2 linked regions of the Schizosaccharomyces pombe genome follow. The gene in region 2 interacts genetically with the main gene of each other region. Each region holds a gene or a part of one and is shown on either strand. Other genes may lie near its edges.

The links. Genes that interact genetically often act in the same process or in processes that back each other up.
Region 1: of crp79 (region 2) and mog1, a mutation in one rescues a mutant of the other (synthetic rescue), as found in Schizosaccharomyces pombe (one study listed by BioGRID).

What each region holds. Positions count from the first base shown.
Region 1 is NC_003421.2:2,246,800-2,249,845, forward strand, and holds mog1 (Ran GTPase-binding protein Mog1), read right to left. Parts: upstream 1,407-3,046; 5' UTR 1,366-1,406; coding exon 793-1,365; 3' UTR 562-792; downstream 1-561. Other genes in the region: Golgi rhomboid protease Rbd2, read left to right, coding at 1-116; cell wall and secondary septum 1,6 branched 1,3-beta-glucan synthase catalytic subunit Bgs4, read right to left, coding at 2,480-3,046. UniProt on the Schizosaccharomyces pombe protein: Involved in the Ran-GTPase system for nuclear protein import and poly(A)+ mRNA export. Required for mitosis-to-interphase transition.
Region 2 is NC_003424.3:1,791,875-1,796,863, forward strand, and holds crp79 (poly(A)-binding protein Crp79), read right to left. Parts: upstream 3,099-4,989; coding exon 2,978-3,098; exon of another isoform or gene 2,893-2,977; coding exon 2,715-2,892; exon of another isoform or gene 2,624-2,714; coding exon 2,149-2,623; exon of another isoform or gene 2,078-2,148; coding exon 719-2,077; 3' UTR 559-718; downstream 1-558. Other genes in the region: mrpl1 (mitochondrial 54S ribosomal protein uL1m), read right to left, coding at 1-369; protein Mmc1, read left to right, coding at 4,426-4,989. UniProt on the Schizosaccharomyces pombe protein: Binds the poly(A) tail of mRNA. Involved in the export of mRNA from the nucleus to the cytoplasm.

The DNA.
Region 1 (3,046 bases), on a different chromosome or scaffold from region 2:
CTTGGGTAAAAAACTATCACTCTTTTGATCAACTGTCGCATGCTCAACTCCCCATTGCGGAACCTCTGTCGACCTTTTCTTCTTTCCCCGGAAAAGGAACCCGTCTTGGGGGATGAACTTTCTGTCTTTTACTTCTTTTCTGTTCTTCTTCGTATGATGATATCCTAAATGTTTGTTTTCTTTATTGCAAAGGGTGGAAAAGCTCCTCTCAATGAAGAGATCTTCTATCTTTTGGTAATTCTTATTCAGTATTTTCTAGTCAGTCGTTTACAGGTTTCAATCATAAAGATTGTTTCATTCGCTATATTTGTTCTTTACTTGCACGGAGTTAGGGACAATTAGAAAGTATTTTAATGTTTAATAATTCTTTATGATTAACTTGTTTTAATCACCACTGTCCTACAGCGGCAGTGTAAAGGACAAAAGCTGTACAATCAAAACACCTTGAAATTGTAATTTCCGTTATTCTTTGGAAACTAGCGTTTTACGTTGTACTCTCAAATCATAAAACATTAAACTGTAAAGACACAGTGAAACTTATACTATTAACAATGGAAGAATGGGAAAATTAAAATAATAGCAGAAAAAGTGAAAACCATTGCTAATCGGTTATCAAGTATCAGATGTTTTTATTAAAACCCTTCATACAAGTTGGAATAACCGGTTTTTATAAATAAGAGAAACAATTCCTTTCGGATAAAGAAAAATAAAACTTGAAAAGTATTTCCCTAGATGAAAATCTTAATTAAGTGTTGTGGGCTAGTTAATTTGCTTGCCTATGTCCATCATCCTTTAAGCAAATACTGTTTTATCGACAAGTACAAGAGATCGAGTAACTCGCTGTATTGTTTCGAGAGCAGCGCGAACGATGCTTTGATCAGAAGGGGGAATGTTTTCAACAGAAGAGGGAACTGAGGAAGTGTTAGGTAAAGGAGCATTTACGGAGATTACGATATCTGTTTGAAAGTCAATCAAAGTTATCACATTCACGAAGATTGCCACATTGGTAGCGGATTCAGGATTTCGCTTTCCTTTTTCAAGGACCCTCTGACAACCTTGTACAGAAGATCCACTAGCCTTTTCGCTTCTCATGCCCTCAAAGTCGTCTTCACCAAGACTTTTGTCTCTCCAAATTACTCTTTGAGATGCATCATTATCGAATGCAATGCTATTGAAATGGTAAGCTGCCACACTTCCATCAAATGGCTTCTCAATTTTTTCCAAAAGCTCAATGATCACTGTTAGGTTTTCCTTGGAATCTTGCAAAAACACCTCTTGGTTGTCAGGAATCTGACGCAAAACGCTAGCATCGAGAAATTTAGGAGGGAAATCAGCACAAAGAGCCCCACCGAATAGCTGTACCATTACTATAAAAATATAAAAACCTAATAGATTTGTTTGTCTCAAGAACCAGATTGGTATTCGAACCACAAAAGGATTCTTTCCTATTTTCACTCCATTTCATTCGACTGCGGTAACAAGTTAGTGCGTGTTATTTTATGTTTCATTATTATATTTATCGCTAGTAAAACGCTTTAAATGAGCCTAGATTCAATTTTCAATATTTACGCACTGCACGGTAACTACTAAACTGATTTAAAATTAAAATAAAAAGAAATTCAAATTGATGATTTTTAATGAAAATGATATGTTAAAAATAAAATTTTGTACACATATATAGTTTCTAATATCGTTTTGACAACTAGTATATCAAATGGATGAAAGGACGCTCGTAATCTTGTAATCATGAGTCCATTCAGATATCCATAACTAATACAAGGATAGGGCGTCTGATAACTTTTACGATTAAGTTGATTAGTTGTTCAGCCTTCCACTTGTGTGATACAAAAGAGAAATGGAATTGCACACTAGAGTGGTTATTTCAAACTTTCTATTGATCTGAAAAACCTAAATTAAACGTTCACTAGATAATAAGTATTCAACCAAAAGATCAATTTATGTACGGTATCATAATCTACTTCAATACTTTTACACAATTACATCACCTTATATTTTAAACAAATATCCATTAACTGACCAGCAATAATATAGGTAAAAGTTTTGTGAACCAATGGGAATTCTTATTCATTTGTATATAGATAAATGAAGAAATGTATATATATGCATAAAATCCTAGCCCATCAAACTGTAACCTGAAAAGGCTTGTAACAAAACTCATCAATCTCAAACTTGTAAATGGTGAAATAGCAAATGTAACGTAGATAGAAAGATGGTATGAGTAAAAAATGATAAACGGTTAACCCTTTAGCTTTGCTTTTATCCTTCAGAGCTCAATAACTCAAGTCGAAGAGATGGGACCAAGCACATGCTGAAATGTATGAATGAAATGAGTGTAACAAATAAAATTAATAAATTGCTGAGATACTTGACGAAAGCTCATCAGAACATCAGTGTAATATAATAGCGAACTAGCGCATCTTTTCAAATTCATTTTAAATGATTTTTCTAATAATCCCATCTAGTAAGTGGTATTGAATTCGAAATGGTATCTGTCGTACCAGAAAGAATAATTAGCAGTATAATTCGTGTCCCTTGGTTGAATGATACCGCTACCAATTGAAGAGTTAGTTTGGTTCCATCCAACAGCACCCTTGGCAACAGCCTCAGAAGCAGTTAATCCTTGGCGGATTTCTGCACCAGCTGCCAATGGAACAATAATAAGAATAAGGAATATTACCAAAATTGAAAAGTACAAGGCTGAATAACGACGAACAATACGTTTCCGCAGTCTATTCTGCTTGGTAGAGAAAATAGGAGGACGAATTTGACGACTTGGGCGCAACCAGAAAAGAAGAACTGAATGCCAACGATCAATATATGGGATACAAATCACAGGAAGCATAAAAAACAGTAATAAGTGACCCAAGAAGAAATCAGTAGCAAACAAATTAAGTTCTATGGCTTTACAGACAAATTCACGAGCAGGCAAAGTAAAGGCATGATAGCCATATCCTTTGCCATACCATTTACCACTCCACCAAGAAATATTAGCACTATCTTGTTTGACCTCACGAGATAAACATAA
Region 2 (4,989 bases):
TTCTGCACCAACATAGGTTGCACCCAATTTTAAAGCTTCATCTGCAGCTGCACCTTTAGCAAACACACAAATTTTAGGAGGCTCTTGAAATGGATGAGGAAAGGCAATTTGACCACGAGCTGACGGAGCGCGTCGATTACTTTTTAAAGCAATTGAAAGCATATAAGACCCAACATATGGAACAGAAATGCTCACAGATTTGAGATATTTTGTGGCTTCAGGAACTGTCATCGCAAGAGCGGGAAAATTGGATTTCTTGTTTAGTTGAGAAATAAACCTTTTGCAGAAACCCTTTTGATTTTTAAAATTTAAAAATTCATTATGTGACAATAATGTTTGCCGTTTACCTAACGCTATTAATGAACTCATGGTTTTTAATCTGGTTCGTCAAACTGTCACCAAGCTACTGGATGTCAGTCAATGAACCTGCTAAAATCATAAATCTCTAAACAAATCTGATCCAGCTGTCAACTTTCGAATTAATAAAGAATTATCTTTCAAATCAAATTTCCTTATAATGTTTTTGATTAAAGACTAAAAATAAACGGTTTCGTTTAAATTCCACGTTGTGGTAGTTGTAAGATACTGTAGGGTTATACTAGCAAATCCATCCGTTCACGATGTATATATTTTAAGGAGTTAAAAGTTTGTTCATCGGAGTTTTGAGGGATATAGCATTATGAATTTTGTTTCATAGTTATATCTTCACCGCATCTTGTTAAATCTGCGTCAACTGAATAGTTGTTGGTGAATTGTTGTTAACCTTTGTTGTTGATAAAAAATTTTCCTTATTTGAATCTTTAATATGATAGGAATTCATTTTTTGGATATTGGATGTAGCTTCTGGATAGCTGTCCATGTACCCGACAAGTGAAAGCATGTTCGTTGACTCATTACAGTCCTCATCTTGGAAATGTGAGGGCTCAACTGTTACGTACGTAAGAGTTGTACAGGTTGTTGCTCTTGCTCTTGGCACAAAGTATGCATTACTCAGCTTTTTGTTGTGAAGCATGTCTTGTATCTTCTTCAAGTTGGTGGCTGTTGAACCCATCTTAGCAGACCCTCGGTTATTTAGTTTTGTGTTAGCATGGAATACCAATGGTTTTAACAAGTTTCCTTGTTCTCCGTCATGGCTCAATTTTCCTGCTTCTTTCTTTATATCCAAGTTGCCTGATAACTGTCCACTAAGTTCCTTATTTTCTTGCTTACAGTTAACATATTCATTTGTCTGACTGGGTTCTTTGTTTTCACCAGTCTTAGGCTCATTCTTATTTTCAACCTTACTTGAAAGGGTCGTGGGATTCTCAGAGATTTTGTTTGTAGAAGACTCTATTGGCTTTCGGATGGTAACAGTAGAGCTTCTTTCTGGTTTGACGAACAAAGCTTTGTTGTCTTGCTGCGCTGTTTGTTCTGAAGTAGGTTTGTTTGCAAAAAATGCTTGCAATCTACGAATTCTGTCAGACTTTCGCTCCGCGAAGCAAACGAAAATCCTTTTTTTCCCAACCATCATTCCATTCAATGTGTCTTTGGCTCTAACGGCAGCCTCTATTTGACGAAACGCTACGAAACCATAACCTTTGGAGATTCCTGAATTTGGATAGCATGCTAACATGGAAGACAAAATCGACCCGAAGGGTGAGAATAAATCTTCCAGCTGACTCTTGCATGTGATGACGGTATCATCTAAATTTTTAACGTATAGATTTGAAGGGTCAATAGGAGAATTAGGGATACTTGGAGAGCTTTCACGTAAAGAGTCCCAATGCACGATTGACTGAGGTTTATTATCTGGGTTCCAAGCGGCTGGATGATTTTGCTGATTTGAAACACCGGTAGTTGAAACGCTACCCCATTGGCTTTTCTCCTTAGTTGGTGAGCCCATAATCCATGTCATCTTCGAACATGTAGCATTTTCGATATTTATTTGAGTTTTGTTAGCGTTTTCCGATGGGAAAGGCCATAAGCTTTCACCAGTCGGCGTTGTGGGAATTGACTTCACTGAAGAAGAGGCTTTATTTTTTATACTGACCTCTAAAATGCTTCCTTTGTATGGAACGTTATTTAATTTTTCTATTGCCTTAATAATGAGGTTAGTATCATGAAATAGATTATGCAAATATTGGGGTTTTCTCTTCATATTGAGCTTACATTTTGACATGATTCAACTGAATCCATAATCACTTCGCCATACCGGAACCCTCTTTGGTCAAGAAACTGGCTGACCGCCGTCCCTTTTACTACACCAGCCTGTTTAAAGTGGTTATATAAGTCAATCGGTGTGACTTCGGCAGGTAGGTTCAAGATACTAAGGGGTAACGTAGAAGCGAAGGCATTTGGTACAACTTGCATGCTAATATCTTCCAAACCAAGAGACGGTATGGTAAGCGTTGTTTCTGGCTTCGGGTTACGCGAATTTATGCCTCTCACAGTTTCCCAATTTCTTTCTTCGACATTTGGAATAAATTCCTTAATCTGAGACTGTTTGAGTCCTGGCTTAACGTTTTCCTCATCTGTATTGTTTTGGATGCTAGGATTGAACACGTTCGCAGTGATTGACGTATCGTTAGGTTTGAATTTTTTGTCTGTCAGTTTCGCAGGATTTACGACTCTTGCTTTAATGGTCCTTTTTTTTAGGTTAGTAATTTTTTGGAGAATGATTTTTCGATTTTTTTTTCTGTAATGCTTGTCTCTAATTTTTCCCTTCAGTCACTTACAATTTTCTTTGGCCCAGAGTCATTCCTTTAGCGTCCTTTAGAACTTCTTCAATGCTTTCAGCATTAACGAATTTGACGAACCCATATTGCACTCCATTTTTAGGAGGTTTAAAAGGTTTCGCTTTTTCCTTAGGATAAAAACTATCAAGTAATCGACGAAAGATGGATTCTACTTGTCCTAAAGAATTGATTAATATATCGCTTTTATTTATGTTTTCTAATGTTTTTCCTCGTGTTTTTATCCTTGACTTGTGTGTTCATACCATATTTTGAAAAGTGTTTGATGATTTCTTCATCAGAAAGTCGGGAATCTATATTTCCTACATATATAGTACTGCTTTCATCTTCATACTGTCCGGGGACAGAGAGTTTTGAATTGTTCATTTTATCTCAAAAAAGATGTGTGATGGAAAGGAATGGTTGTTGTTTTTGGTATATATAGGATCGCTGTTTGTTTACATTTCGATGATGCATGACTGAAACTATTACCACCATAACAAATGAGAGTAAACAAACCTTAAATTGACCTCTTAACATTTTTAGAGTAATATTTTTTGTTTTTTTTTAAAAATGCTTGTTTTATATTTACAACTTGATTTCCTAATATTCATGCAGTTTGGTTCATATCTGTTTTATCCATATCTCTACTAAATCCTCAAATCGCATTTATAATGACATTTTATTTTATTTTATTATTAAAGTCAATATTACCTGCTCGCATTAAAAAATATTTCAAATTCATACCATCCTTTTTTCGGCTTTCGCTGATTTCAAATTAAAAGTTGAATTTCCTTAAATGAATCAAAAAGCAATTAGGCTAATATTCTGGTGAATCCATTCATAAATTTTCAATTATTGTTGTTTTTGGCAAACCAACTGATATCGCACAACCTGTCAATAAGTTAGGTCAATCAGTTTATTACTCAAAATCCAGATGTTACTAAATTCTTTCATCTGCTTTTTTCTTTGGTTTTCTTTGATTTTAGAAGTATGATAGTTTAGAGCTTTACTCGCCTATATTCTTTGCTAACTAACTATACAGTATTTTACTGGCAAAAGGTAATAGATTTAGATAAAATAAGTTTGAATCGAATGACCATTAAAGTAAGTGAAAAGCAATAGGTGAAGATTTAGTGTAATCATTAAAAAGGTTATAAATGTTAGCAGTTCTCCAATATTAAGAGCAATTTATGTAGCTCATTTCAGTTCCTTCTAATCCATTTTAGACTTAAAGCTTCATTCTGTCGAATACCGTTTTCTTCAAATACTTGTATAAACCTCGGATTTTGTCACTGTTTATGAACAATGAATTCGTCTAAATTAACAAAATGCAAAATTCTTTGTTTTTTTGTTTTTATGATTGTTTGACTGAACAAATAAATAAACATATACAGATTTAAGGGTTAACAATATCCAATGATTTTCCAAGAATATTATACTGCTGGGTTAAGGTATTTTGATATAACATCTACGACACTACTCAATAGACACAACTACTATACAACCTTCGGGTGCCATCAGACAACAATTATTCACTATAGTATTTGTTTTAAGAATTATTAACTTATTAGTAAATGTTTTATTGTGTATTTGGAACTTTAACTAATACTATCTAAAATCCGGTAATCTCGTTCCTTTTTGGCTTTCGAATCTAGTGTGGTTCATATGCGATCCTTTGTTGTGATTAGTTTTTCATAGGCTCAGAGAAATTATGCTAAGATTTGGAATAAAAACATGGAAGCGCTCTGTGTTGGCGATACGCAGGTCGTCGACCGCTCCACATGTGCAGATCATCTCCAATTTGCAAAAAAAGCTGCTCAATGAGCTTTATTCTTTGAGAAGATTAGTCGATGACAATTCTCCTGCAACAATTCGTGTAGGAAATGTCTCCCTTTTGCTTTCCAAATCGAATATTAGGAGGAGGATTGCGCTACAGGCGTTAAGCTCTTCTGCCGAAGATGTCGCGTGTGTCAAACAAATCACACATGCTCTTCTCGCTGCTCCCTTTATGCCTGAGTCAAAAGAATTGAAATATGCCATGGATCACAATGGACTAAACCCACTTTATATCTCGTTTGGCACAAATGCTTTGTTTGAGCGAAATGCTAGGTATAGTACGTCACATTTATTTCTTCCAAGCGACTTCCTACAAGTCAATAATCTTGAAATTATTCACCTTCCTCCGGGAACAGTGGACTCTGATATTTTGGCTAGTTGCCATGCTCGATATATATGTTCTACTTCTTATTTAAGAATGACCTCCAGTGACTTTACT